Linked DNA regions of Canis lupus familiaris. The protein of the gene in region 1 purifies or fractionates together with the protein of each later gene. This does not show direct contact. Links are inferred from orthologs where the notes say so. Each region holds a gene or a part of one and is shown on either strand. Other genes may lie near its edges. The genes, in order: PAM16 and DNAJC19.

Region 1 (4,372 bases):
GACACAGAGTCTGATGATACAGTAGCTACTCAATAAATGTCGCTTTACATTTATTACACTGATTTCACAAAACCGGACAATGGTCAGATACTATGGAGTAGCAAAGCCTTTCCCAATAAGGCAACTCATTTGATATAGCCACTGATTCCTCAGGGGAGAAGGCTGCAAAAAGCCAGGCTCCGTGCCAAGAGCACTGAGAAGCAGTGTGGAAGAGGAGGGAGAGGACTGCTTTGGAGCTTAAACCTGGACTCCCAGCTTGTCTTCGCTAGCTGTGTGGCCCTGCATAAATTACTCAACCTCTCTGAACCTGTTTTCTTATCTGCAAAACGGAGAGAATCATACCTTCCTTACAGGAAGGCTGCAAGGTCCTCAGAAGGCAATCCACATAAACCCAACCAGTCAGTGGCAGGTTCAAAGCAGCCCAACAGCTGCCTTTGCTTCTGGACTAGACCCTGCTTGGTGCTGGACGGTCCAGACATCAGGCAGTATGGCCAAGCTTCTCATCCATCTATTCAGTACCCAGTGCCAGCTGTGGGTCAGCCAGATCATTGTTCTGCCAGTTACAAGAGGAGATGATGGCAGCCACTGGCTGAGGTCTCTCCTAGAAAGTCCCCAAACATCCCATAGTCCACTGACTGACACTTGGGCCTGAAGACCCTGGACAAGAACAGTCAGCTGACATGGCATCCAACTCAGGGCAAGCTGCCAGTCGAGGAGCAGAGGTCAGAGACACAGGTCGCCGAGCCTGGGAGCCACTGTGGATGACACATCTGCTTTCTCATCTGAGGAACGACATAGCCCAATGCAGAACCACACCTCTGCAGCTGGGACAGAAGACCACAGGCAAGCGTTGGGGGACACGGAGGAATGTGGCGCATCTCAGGTGAGGTGCATTACGAAGGGAACCTGGTTTTCAGACAGCTCAGATGTGCAATGTTCCCTTCAAAGCTTAGTTCTCAGCCCCTGGGCTGCTGGGCAGACACTGCCACTGAGACTCACCCCCTTCTTGAGGATGTTCACCCCAAAGCCCCTGCAAACAGCTGCTGGCATCACGACTAGGCGGGAGGGCAGTCAGGACCACAGTAAACCTGGCGCCCCCGCCTATGGCTGGCATGGCAGCCCAATCGATCGTATTTGAATGAATGTGACACTTAACCAGGCCATCATCAGCAAAACTATGTCCCCAGACAGGGTTTCCAAATGCCTACCGCTCCCTCTGCTGGAGGACTCAGGCCATCCTCCAATACACACAACTCCGCGGCCAGGGCCTGCAAATTCAGCCCACTTCTCAGCTGGGCAATCTCACCTTGGACAGCTACAACGGCTCTGGTTTTCTCTCCCCTCACCTCTCGGCCCTGCAGCCACACCATCTACTTCTAGATCAGCTCTTACTTCTTTTACCCCCATGTCTCCCAACACACACACACCATACAAGTCACTCAAGTATTCAGTGATTTTAGGGTATTCACATACCTCTGTAAACACACTAAAAAGTACAGAATATTACTAGTCCTGGAACATTTTCATCACCCCCCCAAAAAAAACCCCCAATACCCATTAACCTTGACTACATCGTCCCTACTACTCTGATACTCCATCAAAACCCAACATCCTTCAAGACTTAACAGGAGGGATGCCTGGGTGGCTGCCTTTGGCCCAGGGCGTGACCCCAGGGTCCTGAGATCGAGTTCCACATTGGGCTCCCTGCATGGAGCCTGCTTCTCCCGCTGCCTGTGTGTCTGCCTCTCTTTGCGTCGCTCATGAATAAATAAAATCTTAAAAAAAAAAAAAAAGACAACACAATACTCCCATATTCCCTCTAAGCCAAACCTTCCCAGAGCACTATCTGTTCTGTCCTATTTTACAGACTTGCCTGATTCCTCCTTTAGGATACAGACTGGTCCAGAGCAACATTTTACGTGGCTCTTGAGGGGGGCTCAGAGTTACAGGCAGGAATGCGTGAGCAGGCCGCGGTCCAAGGGTTGGGCATGACCCGGCTCAACACCTGCCTCTGGCACGGCTGGATGAAACGACCCTGGAGGAATCCAACTCTGAGATTCAGGCTCCTACTCTGTGAAATGGGGACCATGGCCCTATGCATTTCACAAGCATTAAATGAGAGAATCCACGTGAGGCTTCCAGTGCAAGGGCCTGGGGGCCTTGCAAGCTCTTGTGTTATCCTTCTTATTGGTTAATAAGGGGCTCCCCAAACCGGCTGCCTCCGAGGACAGAGCTCAGGATGCTGCGTGTTTAAAGGGTCCCCAGGGGACTCGTCTCCGCCAGCGTGGCCCGGGTCTGCGGACTGGCTGCGGGTGCCACAGGAAACGCGGAGACGCTCAGCTTTCGGGGTCGCGGGGCCCGCTCGAGTCCCAGGCCAGCCACTTCCTTGGCAAAGTCTCGGCGCCCGTTTCGTCCGTTTCCAAAGGGCGACACCGCCAACGGGCCGCGCGGCCGCGCAGGGCTCCCGGGCTGGACCCGACCTCCGGCGCGGCAGGGGGCACGCGGCGGCCGCCTGTGCTGGGCATTTTCCGGCCAGCCAGGCCCGCGCCGCCTTCTGGGCGAGAGGCCTCCGTGGCCCCGGGCCGCCGGCCCCCGCCGCGGTCCTCCCGGTGCGACGCTCCCCGGCCCCGGCCCCGGCCCCGGCCCCAGCCCGGCCTCCCTCACCGCCCGGCAGCGCCCGCTCGTGCCTCACCATGCTGGCCGCTCCGCCTCAGGGTTGCGGGCTCCGGCTTCCTGGCCCCGCGGCCCCAGCTCAAAGGCGGCCGGCAGGTCAGAGGTCAAGGGAGAGAGAGCGCGTGCGTGACGCCGCGCTGGGCATGCGCGTTGCTCCCTCCGGGGGGCGGGACGGGACCCGTGACGTCACGGCGGTAGGCGGAGCCGCGCTCAGGTGATGGGCGGTCCTAGGACCCGCGGTGGCCCTCGCGTTCGCCCTGCTGCGCGACGTGCCCCAGGATAGACACATCTGTCAAATGAGGGGCAAGCAACCTCTTCCCTGGATTTTGCCAAGATATTTGGTACTAAAGGACATGAAGTAAACATACAACACCCCACGAAGAGGAGGATGCCAAAGGCTCACAAATATGTAAGAAAACAGGAAACCTGGGATCCCTGGGTGGCGCAGCGGTTTGGCACCTGCCTTTGGCCCAGGGCGCGATCCTGGAGACCCGGGATCGAATCCCACGTCGGGCTCCCGGTGCATGGAGCCTGCTTCTCCCTCTGCCTGTGTCTCTGCCTCTCTCTCTCTCTCTCTGTGTGACTATCATAAATAAATAAAAATTAAAAAAAAAGAAAACAGGAAACCTCAAAACGGGCTTCCTTCTAGTTTCCTTCTATCTGGGAAAGAGATCTCTCTCTCTCCCCCTTCAAGTGCTTGCTCGATGTCACCTTCCCAAGGAGGCCTACCCCAACCTGCTACCAATGCTGCAACTTGCCCCGCATTCTTTTGTGCTTTAGTAACCCTTTGGGATAAAGTTCACACACCATCCGGTTCACTAAAGTGCATAATTCAGTCAGCGCTTCTTAGTGTATCCACAGAGTTGTGCAACCATCACCACCAGAACACCAGAACATTTTCATCACCACCCCCCAAACTCCCTTCGCATCAGCACTGGCCACCGCCCCCCCAGGCCCTGACCACTAAGCTTGGGCCCGTCTATGGTTTGTCCCCTGTGAACAGCTCTTGGAAGTGGAATCATCCTGTCTGTGGCTTCTGTGTCTGGCTCTCAGTCCCCTCTATTTTTACCCCCAAAGTTCTTACTCATCGCCTTCTGCCATATTATAGAATTCATTTATTTTATGTGCGCTGCTTATAATCTGTTCTTTCCCCCAGAAGGTGGATCCCTGGTGGGCAGGACTTTCCTCTTTTCTCCACTCTTGGATGGGTGGCCGGCACGTGGGAGGCACTCAGCACACCATCACTGAATGAACATAAATTGGGCTGCCCTGGATTGTTTTGGACCACCGCCCTCTCCTCCAACTCTCCAAATTTTCTTCCCTCAGTGCAGTGGCTGCTCTTCCTTTTATCTGAAGTGTTCTCTCAGCTCTGTGGCTCAGTTGCCTTCAGGTCTTGCCTCTCTTGACTTTGCACACCCTGCTCTCCCTGCATCTCCGCAGCTCCCTTTCACATAATTTTTTTGTGTGTGTGAATTAAGCAATCTCTATGCCCAACTCACTACCCTGAGGTCAAGAGTTGCACGCTCTACCAACTGAACCAGCCAGGTGCCCCTATTTTGTCTTCCTTACAGGTCTCCTTACAGTTTGCTTCTTTGCACACAGTCTGGCTGGCCTGCACAGGAAGACTCTAACAAGTACCTTGAGAGGCCCGTTCATCACCATCCAGAGCAGTATCCATGTGCTAGATGAGTGAACTAAC
Region 2 (4,576 bases), on another chromosome or scaffold:
TCTCTCAAATAAAATCTTAAAATTATTTGAACTTTCTAATCATTATATAAGTCCTTTTATTGAAAGGGAAAGCATGTTGTATCTGAAAATGAAGGCAGAATTTCACTACAAAAAATGTTATAGGGCAGCCCTGGTGGCCCAGTGGTTTGGCACTGCCTTCAGCCCAGGGTGTGATCCTGGGGACCTGGGATTGAGCCCTCTGCCGGTGTCCCTGCCTCTCTGTGTCAGTCATGAATAAATAAAATCTTAAAAAAAATGTTATAAAGAACAATAATCTTTCAGTGAATTAAAAAGTCCTTATGTGCTAGTGTGCCTTCTCACTGGACTTTTACAGGGAGTGTTTAGATATTACAATGTATGTAACCCTATTATAACTCTTAGTAAAAGGATATTTGCTCATATTCTCAGAGTTGTAGAAAAATATTACAAATATTAGAAATTATTTACCTTACGCCTAGTATTAGTGCTGCTTCTCTTTTTGTCATTTTGGGTTCAAATCCACCTCTATAATAGCCACCACTGAAGGCCTGAGAGAGGAAATGCATTCATAAAAATAGATAATAAACTGAAAGTTGCTAAAAAATGTTGAAAATGTTCACAGCAGAAAAATTAAGACAATTCAGAGAACTTTAAAACTACTACAGCATTTTAGCTTTATAGGAAGCAACCAGTATTTTAATGATATTAAACATCAATTTTTTCCTCCAGAAAAATTCTAAAAAATGTAAGACAGAAGAGGTGCCTCATAGCCAGTTCTTCTGGGAATAAAGGGAAGCTTATTCCAAGTTAGCTGTGTTACAGGTGAAAATTTGACCTTAAGAATATGATTATGTGTTAGAAAAACAAGGGCTGGGATCCCTGGGTGGCGCAGCGGTTTGGCGCCTGCCATTGGCCCAGGGCGCGATCCTGGAGACCCAGGATCGAGTCCCACGTCGGGCTTCCGGTGCATGGAGCCTGCTTCTCCCTCTGCCTATGTCTCTGCCTCTCTCTCTTTCTCTCTCGGTGACTATCATAAATAAATAAAAATTAAAAAAAAAAAAAAAGAAAAACAAGGGCTTCAAGAAAAGGATTTGGAGATCTTTTATGATGAGTGGTTCAAGGGTATTCTGAGAGTCAAGGTAACTACTAAAACAAGACTTTTAAGGTATGTATGGAGGGACGCCAGGGTGGCTCAGGGGTTGAGCCTCTGCCTTCGGCCCAGGGTATGATTCAAGGGTCCTGGGATGGAGTCCCACATGGGGCTCCCTGAGAGGATCCTGCTTCTCCCTTTGCCTGTGTCTCTGCCTCTCTCTGTGTCTCTCATGAATAAGTAAAATCTTAAAAAAAAAAAAAAAAGATATCTATTGAGAAAACCAGGCTACCAGATCATATGAGTAAAGCCTACCATCAATCACCATATTGTCACATTCAATTACAGCAATAAAAATACTAACAAGCTGTCACAGCCAAACATCACATCCAGTCATACTCTTTAGCCTACTTCACTCTGGTGCTACCCAAGTATCTTGGGGAGTGCCAGGGCCACACAACACAGGATCCCTAGACACTGCAGATCCTTAGATCCCTGTGTTGGTCATGCAGAGCAAATGAGGGAAGGCAAGAATCTGGACAAATGGTACTGAAGTTCTCTAAACAATAGTGATTATTAACTTTCACGATACTAGAATTTCAATACCTTAGCCACAATTCTGTCACAAGCCTCAGAACTTCTAAACCCTGTTTGTGGGAGACAAGAGAAGGGGCCCAAAGCACTAAGAACCTCATGGATGTTTGGAAATTTACCCTCTCCAAGTGTGACTCTAAGCTTCCTACATAGGCAGCAAAGAATTAGCAAAAATGTTTAGCATGTCTTACAGATTTTGGTAGACTCTGAAAAACTTGTTTTACTTGAGGTTCCACATGTTTCATGGCTTGCAAAACATAACGGCCTACAAACAAAAGCAACAGAATAATTAAAAAAATCTCCAACCTCCCCTACACTTCACTTCGACTCCCAAACCATAAACAAACCTGCAAATCCCGCAGCAGCAATGGTCAGTCCAACAGCTACCACGGTACTGGCCTGGTAAGGGGAAGCAGAGTGAATCATTTACTTCTGGAATTCTCACCTTTCCCTATGCGTACCTATCGTCCCATCCTAAACTCATTACAAGTTTTACTTCAAAGGGGAAAACAACTTTGAGGAAGAAAATCGCCTGCCCATGATCTCTCAGGAGGACTGCAGCTTTTTGACTCTAATTCATTGTAAAGCTGTGGGATTTTCAACTGTGAAAGGGAAGGGCGAGTGGATTTGCTTATTTACTTTTACGACAGTGGAACTGAACACCTCTCATCTCTGGGCAAACGAAACCACACTGATGTTCAATCAAGAACGAAGGAAGTAACATTTCTGCTGGAGAAAGCACGATGTGAGGTCCCCGCAGAATTCGGACAACACGCTTCCACGTCAAAACGTGGGCCGAAGCGCCTTCCACCCTGTGGCGTCTCCCGGTCCCCGCGCAGAATCCCCCATGTGTTCTGGGCCCGAGAAGAGACGCGTCGGCCGGAGTCCAGGGGAAGGACACACTAAGGAAGGTCGCGAGGCTGCACCGGGCGAAGAGCAGCGACAATCAAACGCGTTTCCACTAATCTCGGAGCCTCGGGGCCGATGGGCCAGAGACCGGAGCCCCTGGCGGAAGGGCCATGGAAGACCATAAAGGCCCTAGAGGGGTTGTGTCCCAGAAGGTGTGGCTGTCCGGGGCCCTACGTCTCCAGCCTAGAGTCGCAAGGGGGAAGAAAACCTCGGCTCTTTTCCTCCGAGGTCGCGAGGCCTGGGCCCGAGACGGCTCGGGAGACCGGCAGGCCGCACTCACCATGGCTCCGGCTCGGCTCCGCGGCCTCCACCGAGAGCGCGGCTCATCCCAGCCCAAAGGCCGCAGCCAGCTCGCACGCTTCTACCCGACGGCCAAGCGGCCCCCGCCGGCGGCGGACGCAAACCGCCCCGCCAGCGGCGCGTCAGGAAACACGGCAGCCGGGCGGCCAACGGGCCGGAAAACTGTCGTAAACGGGGCCCGCGGAGGGCCAGAGGGGAAAGGTCGCTGGAGCAGTGGGCAGGTGCAGAAGGCACCTGGAGATTGGCTGGCGGCGGGCGGGCCGCCTCCTTCCTCGGGCTCGGAGCTGGGGCTTCTCCGTTTTGCCCTTGGCTACCAGGCGGAAGGTATTTGGAAACTCCTGTCGGGGAAGGTATTGATGCCGAAGGGCGACGACGACTACCGAGTAGCCTCACTCAGAACGCTCCCCCACCCCCCTTTGCAGCACGTGCATTCGCCTTTCATTTTGTTTTTAATTGTCAAGGGTAATGAACATCCTCAAATATGCCGTGACAGTTCCACCTCGAAGCCAAATAAATATGTGGCAAGCCGGGATAGCAAACGAGAATATGTCCCCCCGCCCCAAAACCAAAACAACAAACCACATTGTGTTTCAGGGCTGCTCAGTAGCGTTTTCTTATTTAAAAAGGATTTTTAATTTGTGACTTGACCTCGTGTAAATAAATATCTGGGGTTTTGTTTTGTAGAACGGAAATGTTCACTTCAGAGACAGTTAATATTCTGAACACGGGGTCCCCAAATCCGCACAACCGAAAAGGGCTATTTCAAATTTCTCTCCCTTTCCTCGAAAACTAGCATCAGTCTCATAGATCCCCTAAGTAATAATCAATGCTTGAGAAGAGGAAAGAAAGGAAGTTTTACAGTGTTTGGATGATCAAGTAAATTTGGAGTTACTTTCCAGTTAGAACTTACTGAAGTATTAGAAATCAGTTTACGTAGCAATGAAATTCTGCTTCGATGAATTGGTTGCATGTTAGAGATGTATGCAAATTTGTTGGTCTTGTTTTCCCCATCTTTAAAAAGGTTCTGCATTTGGATCTTTAAGAATTCTTCTAGCCCTGCGATTTTTGTGATGTAATCTATTGTCAACCAATAAATGTATTCTGTAAAGAATTACGTGTCACATAAAGATTCTTTTATTCTGTATATTTTTTGGTATATACAAACTACACCATACAGCTTGCTTGAGGAGCAGGTTAACATGAGGTAGCCCAGCCTCAGGAAGCCAAGGATAAGTAACACAGAGACACTTGAAGTGGACAGGGCTCTTGTTTTTGGAGGCAAATCAAAATAGATGTACAACCCAGTTCTGTCACTAGTTGTATGACTTTGGATAAGTTGTTTCTGAGTCTTCTCATTTGTAAAACAAGGGTAATGATGACTACCTCACCAAATTTTTGTGAGGGTAAAGAATTATGTACATAATATGCTCTGCATGTAATTATCACTTAATGTGTTGGCCATTATCATAATGAGGCATGTTGAAGTACAAATTGGTGTGCAGAGGCCTTCCCGATTCTCATGATATCTCACTCATGGATGTAAGCCTGGTAATCTTTTCCATTCCCGCTAAGGACATGGAAAGAACCTTTAAAAGTAAGTTTTTGAAATTTCTATCCAGTGATGAATGGATAATTATTCCTTGCTTCTTCTAGCTTCTGATGACTGCTAGCATTCCTTGACTTGTGACTGCATCACTTCAATCT

Evidence for each region.
Region 2: the proteins of PAM16 (region 1) and DNAJC19 purify together in Homo sapiens (affinity purification with mass spectrometry; 3 studies listed by BioGRID and IntAct, with this or other methods). This does not show direct contact. The link is inferred for Canis lupus familiaris from reciprocal best matches to the Homo sapiens genes PAM16 and DNAJC19.

Annotation. Positions count from the first base shown.
Region 1 is NC_049227.1:37,331,983-37,336,354, reverse strand, and holds the start of PAM16 (mitochondrial import inner membrane translocase subunit TIM16), read right to left. Parts: upstream 2,850-4,372; 5' UTR 2,696-2,849; coding exon 2,693-2,695; intron 2,301-2,692; exon of another isoform or gene 1,874-2,300; intron 1-1,873. UniProt on the Homo sapiens protein: Regulates ATP-dependent protein translocation into the mitochondrial matrix. Inhibits DNAJC19 stimulation of HSPA9/Mortalin ATPase activity.
Region 2 is NC_049255.1:14,375,286-14,379,861, forward strand, and holds the start of DNAJC19 (mitochondrial import inner membrane translocase subunit TIM14), read right to left. Parts: upstream 2,856-4,576; coding exon 2,853-2,855; coding exon of another isoform or gene 2,683-2,852; exon of another isoform or gene 2,063-2,682; coding exon 2,011-2,062; exon of another isoform or gene 1,929-2,010; coding exon 1,855-1,928; exon of another isoform or gene 1,266-1,854; intron 528-1,265; coding exon 448-527; intron 1-447. Other genes in the region: uncharacterized protein LOC119867493, read left to right, coding at 2,683-3,222, 4,526-4,552. UniProt on the Homo sapiens protein: Mitochondrial co-chaperone which forms a complex with prohibitins to regulate cardiolipin remodeling.